2 linked regions of the Neodiprion lecontei genome follow. The protein of the gene in region 1 purifies or fractionates together with the protein of each later gene. This does not show direct contact. Links are inferred from orthologs where the notes say so. Each region holds a gene or a part of one and is shown on either strand. Other genes may lie near its edges. The genes, in order: protein transport protein Sec31A and N-terminal kinase-like protein.

Region 1 (5,219 bases):
CTTTCAGATACGTGAAAATAAGACCACGCGCGTCGCCGCAAATACATACCTATAGGTATTGTATAACAATAGATTGGTAGGTCGACAATCCTATTGAAGCTTGGAAGAATCGCAGCTGTTTTTAAAATTAAAACTGGAACGTACTTATCGCTGGTAGCGTGGAACCAACTTGCCCAACTTTAACCTGTGCGAAGTTCTATTGTTGGAACAAATAAAACACAATAATTCCGTTTTCACTCGCGAGTATTAACGCGTGCGAGCCGCGCTAGTAGAGACGTGGACTACATAGATTCTTACGGTCTGTTACTGTGCAATACCTTGCTGACTATTTATAGTCAAGCAGAATGGTTCGAGCAAGAATGGATCAAGCCTTTTCAACTAATGAAGCGACTCCGAAGACTTCGTTTTAACTTGTGCTGCTGTCTTGGCCTATATTTTGTTCTGGCCTAAATAATTTACTGATCATTTAATTACACTTAGTGTTACGTTGCTGGACAGGGATAACAAACTTTTAGTCTCATTGACCATCAATTTTTGATTTATTAAAAATATCGGCAAACAAGTATCTGAAAATCAGCCTATGATCAATACAGCTTTCATATTATATGAATAATGCTTGGTACATTTATAAAGCATATGTAACTTCCTATTTACTAAGGCTCATTGCGCCGCAGTTTTCATTTAGAATTTTCTAAAGAACATGTCTAAAACAGTAAGTTTTTGTGGTTTCAATTACATTTCGATCCCCTGGTAATATTTTTAGTTAAAATACTCATCAATGGTAGTAATAAAATAACTTTTTATCAAACAACTAGGTACAAAAATATGTTTTACTAATTAATATGTTAGTTTGTACATGAAAATGGGTGAAATCGGTATTCAAAGTGTGAAACGATTTTTCATCCATCGAAATATTGATCGCTTTGCTCATTCCCTAGATGTACAATATCAGTGAAAGAGGGAATATTCAATGAAAGGTACAAAGTGACTGATAAAAACATTAATTCTAATGATAGTAATTGTCGACACAATCTCAATATCAATCATAATTAGTATTATTTCTACGTTCAATATCTCTAATCTCCAATATGTCCGTTTTTAATCGCAATTTCATAATTTCTCTCCATATATCCGATCTGTGTTCCTCATTCACGATTCCCAATCGCAGTAAAATGTTCTCATTGACCCTCAGAAGCGCTCTGCCAGTTATATCATGCTGTATAAAGAGAAAACAACACAGGAATTAGGACCGCATCTGTTATATTCAAATATAATATGCTTGAAATCAATGAATTATTCCCTAAAGTCAAAATTACATACATAATACAATAAGTCGGACGTTACGTGCTATCATATTCTCTCACTTACATACAAAAACTTTTCATGATACAATTGATAGTAATCGCTACAGTGTCTCCGCAACCACTTCTGTACATCTAAGACATTCCACAAGTAAACTGGACGGGGCCGCGCAGTTTTATTCTGAATCACAGAGAGAATACTTAAGGCATGTGAAAACATTCTCACACTTAATAAAATATTATAACTTGTAATTCCAAGGATGCAACGTAACTCTTACTTTCGGTTTGTTATAAGAATTCACGCTCTCCTCAACCATTATTGAAATTTTAGGGTTAGAAACAATAATTGTTTACAGCAACGAGATCACCTGGGGGATAGCAGAAATTATTTTAATAACGGTGTTAATTGTAAAATAATCGTTTAATTTCAGAAAATGTAGAATACGGCAATTTAGACTCAATATTTGCCGTAATCTAAAAATAGAATTATACATGATAATTGCAGAGGAAACTGTACTGACCACAGTGTACTCAGTAAAATTGCACCATCAAATTGAGCTCGTTTGTTTCCCGTGCTAATTACTCATTGCTGTGCAGATCAGACTTCATCATCTTCAAATCATACACACACGAATGTACAGATATATTTTGAAAAAATATATTCATACGAATCAGTAGATTGTACTGTTATACGCTCTAATTGTAAGATTGTATCATAGTTCAGTGCCTGCCTGACATTTACAGTCAGAGCAAGTTTACAAAAGTTTACAAACATATGACTGATCCACCTGGTGTCGCTTTTAGGAACTAAATTTGAAGCCGCGCTATCACAAGTTACCACCGAACGGTAGCGACCAGTCGTAGCCGGCTACACTTCGTGGCTGGTTGTCGAGCCGGAGCCTTCCGCTGAATTTTGCTACGCCGCGCTACGAACTACAGGCAGTCCGGCAGTCGCCACGTTGGAAGTGTTGACGGTGGTGAATCAAATTTACCTGACGTTACCGAAATTATATTTATAAGGATTATTCATACTGAGCGGAACGAAAGCAAGGTTAGCCACAGGATTGTTTACATCATTATTCGTTTCAATTTTATGCCCAGATTGTGTTCTTAACTGCATATGTCAGGTAGTTCTTATTAATCCGTATGACATTTCAGTCGACTATCAAATCCTGTCCTCCACCAGACAACTGGACCTTTCATAAGGTGTATTACTTTATATTAGGAAAATATTTACGGTTTGTGATCTCATCTTGCAACGATACATCCAGTATTCATTGCTGTACGGCTCTATCATCAATGCTGTAGCTGATCAGATCTCTTGCGTAGCAATATTGCATCTTTCATTTTTGAATTATTGTTAAGAATTCATTACTCGTACTCCGAGTAATTAAAAACTTGATACCACTGTCTGCTGTTGTACAAGTCAGACTATCATGACCCGTTTGGTTGTATTATTGATAATTATTTGTGTACTTATATCTCCAGAAGTGTAACACATATATTTGCTTATGTAACTTTTTAAAAGTCATTAATTTAAAACAATTAATATTTTTATTCGTTACGGTGATCAGTATACAAGATGAAAGTGAAGGAACTGTTACGCACTGTAAATGTGGCGTGGTCTCCACCTGCTCAACATCCGATATTGCTAGCGGCAGGAACCGCTGCTCAACAGTTAGATGCTAGCTTCAGCACATCAGCCAGCTTGGATTTATATGCTCTTAATCTACAAGAACCCGGCTATGACATGGATCTTAAAGCTTCGATATCTAGTGATCACAGGTTACCCTTGAATCATTTTCTTCCTTTCATATTCTTATTGTTGAAAATCCATATAAATTTATGCTATCCTTATCTTCCCTTATGTTTCAATTTTTAGATACTTACTGATATTTAAAAGTGTTTCTTGTTTTCAAGGTATCACAAGATCATATGGGGATCTTTCGGCAACAATCCTGCTGGTATAATAGTAGGCGGTTGTGATTATGGAACTATAAAAATTTATTCAGCGGCTAAGATGTTAGCCAATGAAAGTGATTGCATCCTCAGTAGCCCTGACAAGCATACTGGTCCTGTGCGAGCCATGGATTTTAATCCTTTCCAATCAAATTTATTGGCCACAGGAGCCACAGAAAGTGAAATTTACATATGGGATCTCGTTAATACCAACACTCCAATGACTCCGGGAACTCGAAGTCAACCTCTGGAAGATGTCCAGTATATTGCATGGAACAAGCAAGGTATAGGGTATAAATTATATTATCATAAACTCAGGTGTAAATTTTCACTTACTTATAATTAATCGAATCCCTTTCCAAACTCGACTCAGCCAATTCAAATTCCAAAACTGGTAATTTGCAGACTTGAAACTGTTGATTTAACTTCAAAATTTTTTGTAGAAAACAGTATGATAATTATAAGATCGAGTGTTACTATTTCAGTGCAACACATTCTCGCTTCCACTTTCTCTCAAAGATGTGTGATTTGGGACCTACGGAAAAATGAGCCAATAATCAAGCTGAATGATGCAAACTCAAGGGTAGGTTTAGTTTTTTTCAAGTTAATCAAATTGTCATACACTATCAACCAATTACTCATCTTAACTTCAGGTTCGGTGGAAAGTGGTACAGTGGCATCCAGATGTTGCAACACAGTTATGCCTTGCATCAGAGGATGATCAGAGCCCGATAATTCAGCTTTGGGATCTCAGATTTGCCACATCACCCCTAAAAACTTTAGCGGCTCATCAGCGAGGCGTTCTTTCAATTGCTTGGAATCTACACGACCCTGATCTTCTGGTCAGTTGTGCCAAAGACAATAGAATACTTTGTTGGAACCCAAACTCAACGGCGACTGTAAGTTTATCTACAACTTTGCATGCCATATTTTGACACTTTGATTGAATTTAGTCATGAGTGTTCATTCAATCATAGAATGGAGAAGTACTTTGTGAGTTGGCACAAACAAATCAGTGGAACTTTGATGTCTCTTGGTGTCCACGCAATCCTGGATTAGTAGCTGGCAGTAGTTTTGATGGCCATGCAGTTGTTTACTCACTCTTGGGTGGTCAGCAACAAGTTTCAAGTGAAACTTCGAACAAGATTGCTGATTCGTTTCCTGGAATGGATGCCTTTGCTCAAGCACCGCCATTGCTGCAAAATGAATCAACAGTAGATCTGAAAAAAGCTCCTAAATGGCTAAAAAGGCCTGTTGGAGCTTCGTTTGGTGTGAGTAATCTGTGTACTTTACATAATTGTGTAATCTGTACGTTGAACTAACTTATACTCAGTTTTACCGATTTACAATTTACATTTTAACTCTTTTTGATGATATGAAATGTAGTCAGTAGGGTGTTAAATTTTAATATCCATGTTTAATTTGACAATTACACAGACATTTGTTTAATTTCAGTTTGGTGGAAAACTGACATTATTCGAAAATGACCCACCTAATTCGAATGGTCGAATCATTATATCACAAGTAATAACTGATCCAGAATTAATTCACCGATCAAATCACTTAGAAGCTGCACTCCAAAACGGACAGTTTGGCGATTTCTGCAAAGGAAAAGCTGATACTGCAACTAGTGATCATAATCGTAAAGTATGGAGTTGTTTGGGTGCACATTTTGGAGATAATATCACTGGAGATATATTAGAATTATTAGGATATGATTCGCAATCGATTAACACAAAGCTCAGCAAGTTTGTACCTGAAGAACAAACTGAAACAAGCACTGAACTAAATAAATTAAATAATGTAGGTATTTTTCCATCTTGACACAAACTGAAAAATGTTCATAGTGCTGAATGAATAAAATATTTTCATAAACAGATGAAAGTTACAATTACTCGTTGTAATAGGTTTCTAATGGCAATGTAACTGACGGAAGTGCAGCATTTGATGCGATTGCTC
Region 2 (5,005 bases), on another chromosome or scaffold:
GAAAGCTGGATTATCCCACCCGAATATAACTTACCGCTCAACGAAAGGACTCTAAACGGAACTCGTAGTAATTTTATGGCAGAATTCACCCGCTGTGTGCCGATTGTAATTTTATAAGAATATTTGACTGCCTGGCCTCTGTACGAGGGGGGTGCATCACTCGGTATTCTCTCCCGGTATACATCTAGAAATATACGACCGTAACTGAATTATCTCATTTCTAAACACAGCCCCACCAATTGAATACCAAGCGAGAATTGAGAATTACACATTACATACAAGTCTCGCTTTCACCTGGCGACAGTCTGAGATCACAGAACAATATCTTTGGTTTTGTATTCAAAACAACGTGTCCATTGTCCTGCTGCCAAGGAGCGAACGTAGTATCTAAAAGACGATATCAAATGAGACTGTTTTCGGGCCAGTTCATCCAGTTTGTCATACTCGTTTACTTGTTTGAAGTACCTGCATTTATAGCTGCCGACTGGATAGAATTTAATCTCTCTGACAGCACCGCCTTACCGTTTGTAGAACATTGGCAGTGTACCTGTGCGCTTGCCCATGCCAGACTTTCAAACACATCACTGGAAGCAGAAGGAAAAGATGTTTTCGCAACTCAAATGTAAAAATAGGCGATTTTGGCCGGATGCTGAAAATAAAAAAAACACGCTATTACACAACTAATGACGCGCGCGTTGACAATTGGCGAACTATTATTCCACTGGAGGAAAAATATCGTTTTTGTCCACTCGTAGAGCAAAATATAGGCTCCGCATCGGTGGCGTGCTTTGTCTATATTCACGCTGTCAGTTCCCTCAGTTGAGGTGATGTTTTCGCGTCCTAGTAAACTGAACTTTTTGCTTGTGCATTTAGTTCAATCTAGTTTGAGATTGTATTAACATTCAATTTTTAAAAGATTCTCTTTTCTTCTCTCTTTGAATCTACATTTTCATCTCGATCGGCGGGCTTCGCCTCCTGTACCCCACCGTCGCGGAATCGTCGTGTATCTTGTAATTTTTTACCAAAACAGTCAATTTATTGGGATATCACGTCCCTTGCTCATTTTCAACATGCGACCGACAGCCTAGTCATACAGTTTTATTGGCCGCCAATCGCCTAATTTTACATTTTCACTGGGAAAAATATTACGTTCAACTCGTGGGCAAGAAGAGCCTTGAGTGAGTATGATATCCGAACTTCACACTCACTCACAGTATCGTGCCTTGCCCACTAGTTGCATGATATACTATTTTTGGGGGGTTCTGCGTTTTTGGGGGTATGCCCAGACTTCTACGAACACACTGTACAAACCTGTGGCTTTGGGATATCTGATGATTAGGATTTGTCGGGTTGCCGAAGGTGATACAGCACTCGATCAATTCGCCGGAAAAATATGCAGGTCCTCTAACTAATTTAGCCGTGATATCGATCATCTTTAACAAGTTGAGACGAAACGATCAGTGACGTACAGGCGTTGATTGTATATAGCTGAGTGTATTATTGTTCCGTTTAGTTAACGTACGCATAACACATGTATAACGTGTATGTGACTTGATGCGTGATGTACAATACTGAAGGAAAATGGAGAAAGTCGAAGAATTTAGATCATGCTTCAGATGAGAAGAAGCACGTATGTATGTCAATTCATACAATAGCCTTACATAAAGCCCCCGCGACGAGAGCTGTTTTCTCTTTGCAATTTTTCTGCAACGAAATTCCTCTTGAATGTATCTTCTGACAGTTAGCAGCACAGATCGACCAGTCGACGAGACGGTCTAAGGACAAGACACGCGGCAATGTCGGCTGCCTTGGAAAGCTTGGAAACTGGCCGACATTGGTTAATTCCGTTGGATCCTACCGATGAGCACATCGATGAATCGCTTCATGATCGCTTCGTGTTAAAAAAAATGACGTATGTGCGCTCCTATGCGAGCCACCGATATATGTATGTACACACAACATGTATGCCAGCTCATAAACTTAATACTTTACAACCAATCCGCACACGTCAGTAGGTACCAAAAAGCTGGAGACAAGAGGGCTGACAAAATAGTGACGATAACAAAATGAATAAACCAGTTTTTATGAAGTTTAGTAAAAAAAGTGGATAAAAACGGCGTACACGTACACGTATTATAAGCCGAACACCACGGTATAACGGGCGCTGTGTAACAGCGAAGAATGTGGTCATTTTTCTCCCGTGATCCTACCAAAGATTTTCCTTACGAGATTGGAGAGCCAGTCTTCGGTTTCGAGGGGAAGAGCTTGTGGACACTTCACAGAGCAAAGAGGAAGGTAACCTCATTTAACATAACCTAACCACGTTCCTTCAGCACTTCAGACGAATACCACGAGATCATCCCGCACCAGATCTCTGTCCAGAACTATGTACAGAACTATGTTGGATAAAGTCGGAATTAGGCTGACAGCGTGCAAAAGGAAACCGGCGATGTACCCCAGTGCTTGCATGTAACAAAGCTTGCGGCTTGTGTTCTCGAAGCGTCAATGCTGCTAGCTATTTCACTGTCTTGCTTAGCACGGGCAGCCCGTGGTAGTTCTTTGTCTGACATAGATTGGGTCCTTTTGAGTTATTTACTTTTAATTATTTATTTATATATTTTACGGATACGATGTCCTTTTACATATGAATTCAAAAACAAAAACAAAAACAGGATAGGTAGACCGGCCAATAAATGTACAATAACATGCATATAGAAAGAACAAAAATGTAATGGGAGGTGAAGACTGATGGATTTTTATGATAACTATAGACTAAACTTACTTTTTTCGTTTAAACTATTCGAGATTGTCTGAGGAGCGAGTGCTTACAGGTAGCTTATTCCAATATCGAACAAGAAGATCAAGTGCGTTGTAATATAAGTAGTTGCTTCTAACCGTTGGATCTTCTCGAAATGTATCAGGATTTTTAATAGGATAATTCATATCCCTCAGACTCTGCATATGCGAAGTTCGTATATGTGTAGACATATGCAAACACAGTAGCATTTCTTGTTGTGATTCAATGCATCTTCTTACAGGGAACCAATGTCGGCGAAGATGTTTCTGTTTTTGTCATTCAGGCAAAAAATGGAGGTGATGCAGATCTGGAAACCGCCAGAGCAGCTGTAAAAAGGTTAAAGACTCTCAGGCATCCTAGCATATTGACCTACCTCGATAACCTTGAGGTATGGTATCAAGCCAAGACGGCACTACGTCATCCTTGATCCATTGTCACAGATTACTTGAATTTCTCCGTATTCTTACAGACAGAGAAGACTATATACCTGGCAACAGAGAGAGTCGAACCACTGCAGTTGCGACTGCATGGAAACAATCTGCCCGAGGGGCAGCAGCGCGACTTGTACCTTTCGTGGGGGATTTTTCAAATCACTGTAAGTTGAAGAAATTTGAGATTTTATATTGTCTATACCTCTTTCCGTCATCGGGCATTGAGCGTAGAATATCCTGAGCTACTGTTGAAATAATAATGAGGCTTATACAAAGTGCTTGTTAACATTTTATCTATAAAAAGAGTACTGTAACTTATGTCTGTTGAGAATAATGAATCACTGGTAACTAACGGAGTGAAAGATATAGCAGTACAAAAATTGTAACGTCCCAGCATCGAGGCCATGCCGAAACGAGTTGTTGATCCAGACTTTTTCACGTTTCACGTGTCTTGATCAAAAGATCCAAGTATGGCAAAAAGAAGAGCGTGGGGCTATAATGATTTTATTTGTGTTTGAATAGCGTGCTCTCAGTTTTCTGAATAACGACGGCAATCTTAGACACAACAACATCAATCTCTGGTCGGTTTTCGTAAATGTGGAAAGTGGCGAATGGAAGCTGGGGGGAGTGGAGTACACGACAGGGGTAACGGTAAACTATACTCCCTTGCCCGCGGCCCTGCGCGTCTACCAACCTCCTGAAGCTACAGAAACCTACAAACCTCAATCAAAATGGTATAGAAACTTATTTGTTATGCGGTCTTTATGGTAGACATTGAAATACCGATATAACAAATTACTGTATTTACCAAAGCAAATTGTACCGATGATGGCGGTAGGTGATAGATAACAATTTCCATCACTTGGGACACCACCAGGACAAGGACTACAGTATAGCTAGGGTCCAGTTTGCACATGACATTGTGTTTATTTTAATTACAATGCAATATTGTGGGATTCTCATTAGCTTTGTTCGATTTTCCAAATTTTTTGACTATTGTGTGATATGACTATTTAGGTATACCTGATGTACAGGATATTTCAAGTTATTCCGCACGTTTCTGTACACTTTGGTATTGAACGCAGATGCTAGTAAGAAAATGCCGTACACTAGCACCTTATAAATCACCGATCAATCATATTTACGATACGATTCTAGTGCTGCTTCCTGAATATATCAAGTACGTTTGTTCAATACCTCATTAAAATCACATCCTTGAAATGGCAGCACGATTGACGCGTGGGGACTTGGCTGCCTCATATGGGAGGCATTCAATGGCCCGCTCAACAGGTCTGCTGATCTGAAGACCAAAACGAATCAGGTACAAATCAACGCAAGGTACCGCTTTGATGAGATTACATCCAAGACTGTACCTATGTTTTGCTATCTAGATTTTAATTTAAATTCTTTAAGATACCCAAACAACTATTGGCTGTGTATCGAGAGCTCTCCAGTCACAATGCAGACGTACGACCCAATCCAGCCGATGTGATAGCAAGGTGTAGAAGCAACGGAGGATATTTTAAGAATGACTTGGTCGACGCCCTCTTATTCTTGGAAGAAATCCAGATGAAAGAGAAGGGTGAGAAAAGTAGATTCTTCACACAACTAGCCTCAAAGCTGGAAAGTTTTCCCGATGGAGTTGGAAGGTATAAAATCTTACCCCAACTTCTGGCGGCATTTGATTTTGGAGACGCTGGAAGTGCGGTTCTACCACCGCTACTGCAACTCGGCCGTAAATTACCCGATCCTGAGTATCAGCGTCGCGTTGTGCCCT

Evidence for each region.
Region 2: the proteins of protein transport protein Sec31A (region 1) and N-terminal kinase-like protein purify together in Homo sapiens (affinity purification with mass spectrometry; 3 studies listed by BioGRID and IntAct, counting the BioPlex papers as one, with this or other methods). This does not show direct contact. The link is inferred for Neodiprion lecontei from reciprocal best matches to the Homo sapiens genes SEC31A and SCYL1.

Annotation. Positions count from the first base shown.
Region 1 is NC_060260.1:31,677,657-31,682,875, reverse strand, and holds the start of protein transport protein Sec31A, read left to right. Parts: upstream 1-2,135; 5' UTR 2,136-2,352; intron 2,353-2,484; exon of another isoform or gene 2,485-2,507; intron 2,508-2,875; 5' UTR 2,876-2,883; coding exon 2,884-3,086; intron 3,087-3,221; coding exon 3,222-3,544; intron 3,545-3,745; coding exon 3,746-3,843; intron 3,844-3,913; coding exon 3,914-4,159; intron 4,160-4,237; coding exon 4,238-4,531; intron 4,532-4,715; coding exon 4,716-5,063; intron 5,064-5,167; coding exon 5,168-5,219. Other genes in the region: protein aveugle, read right to left, coding at 1,040-1,216, 1,369-1,482, 1,580-1,618. UniProt on the Homo sapiens protein: Component of the coat protein complex II (COPII) which promotes the formation of transport vesicles from the endoplasmic reticulum (ER).
Region 2 is NC_060266.1:76,936-81,940, reverse strand, and holds the start of N-terminal kinase-like protein, read left to right. Parts: upstream 1-1,923; 5' UTR 1,924-2,181; coding exon 2,182-2,295; intron 2,296-3,038; coding exon 3,039-3,185; intron 3,186-3,266; coding exon 3,267-3,392; intron 3,393-3,750; coding exon 3,751-3,962; intron 3,963-4,455; coding exon 4,456-4,549; intron 4,550-4,641; coding exon 4,642-5,005. Other genes in the region: RAB6A-GEF complex partner protein 2, read right to left, coding at 35-184, 280-387, 466-584, 1,312-1,433. UniProt on the Homo sapiens protein: Regulates COPI-mediated retrograde protein traffic at the interface between the Golgi apparatus and the endoplasmic reticulum. Involved in the maintenance of the Golgi apparatus morphology.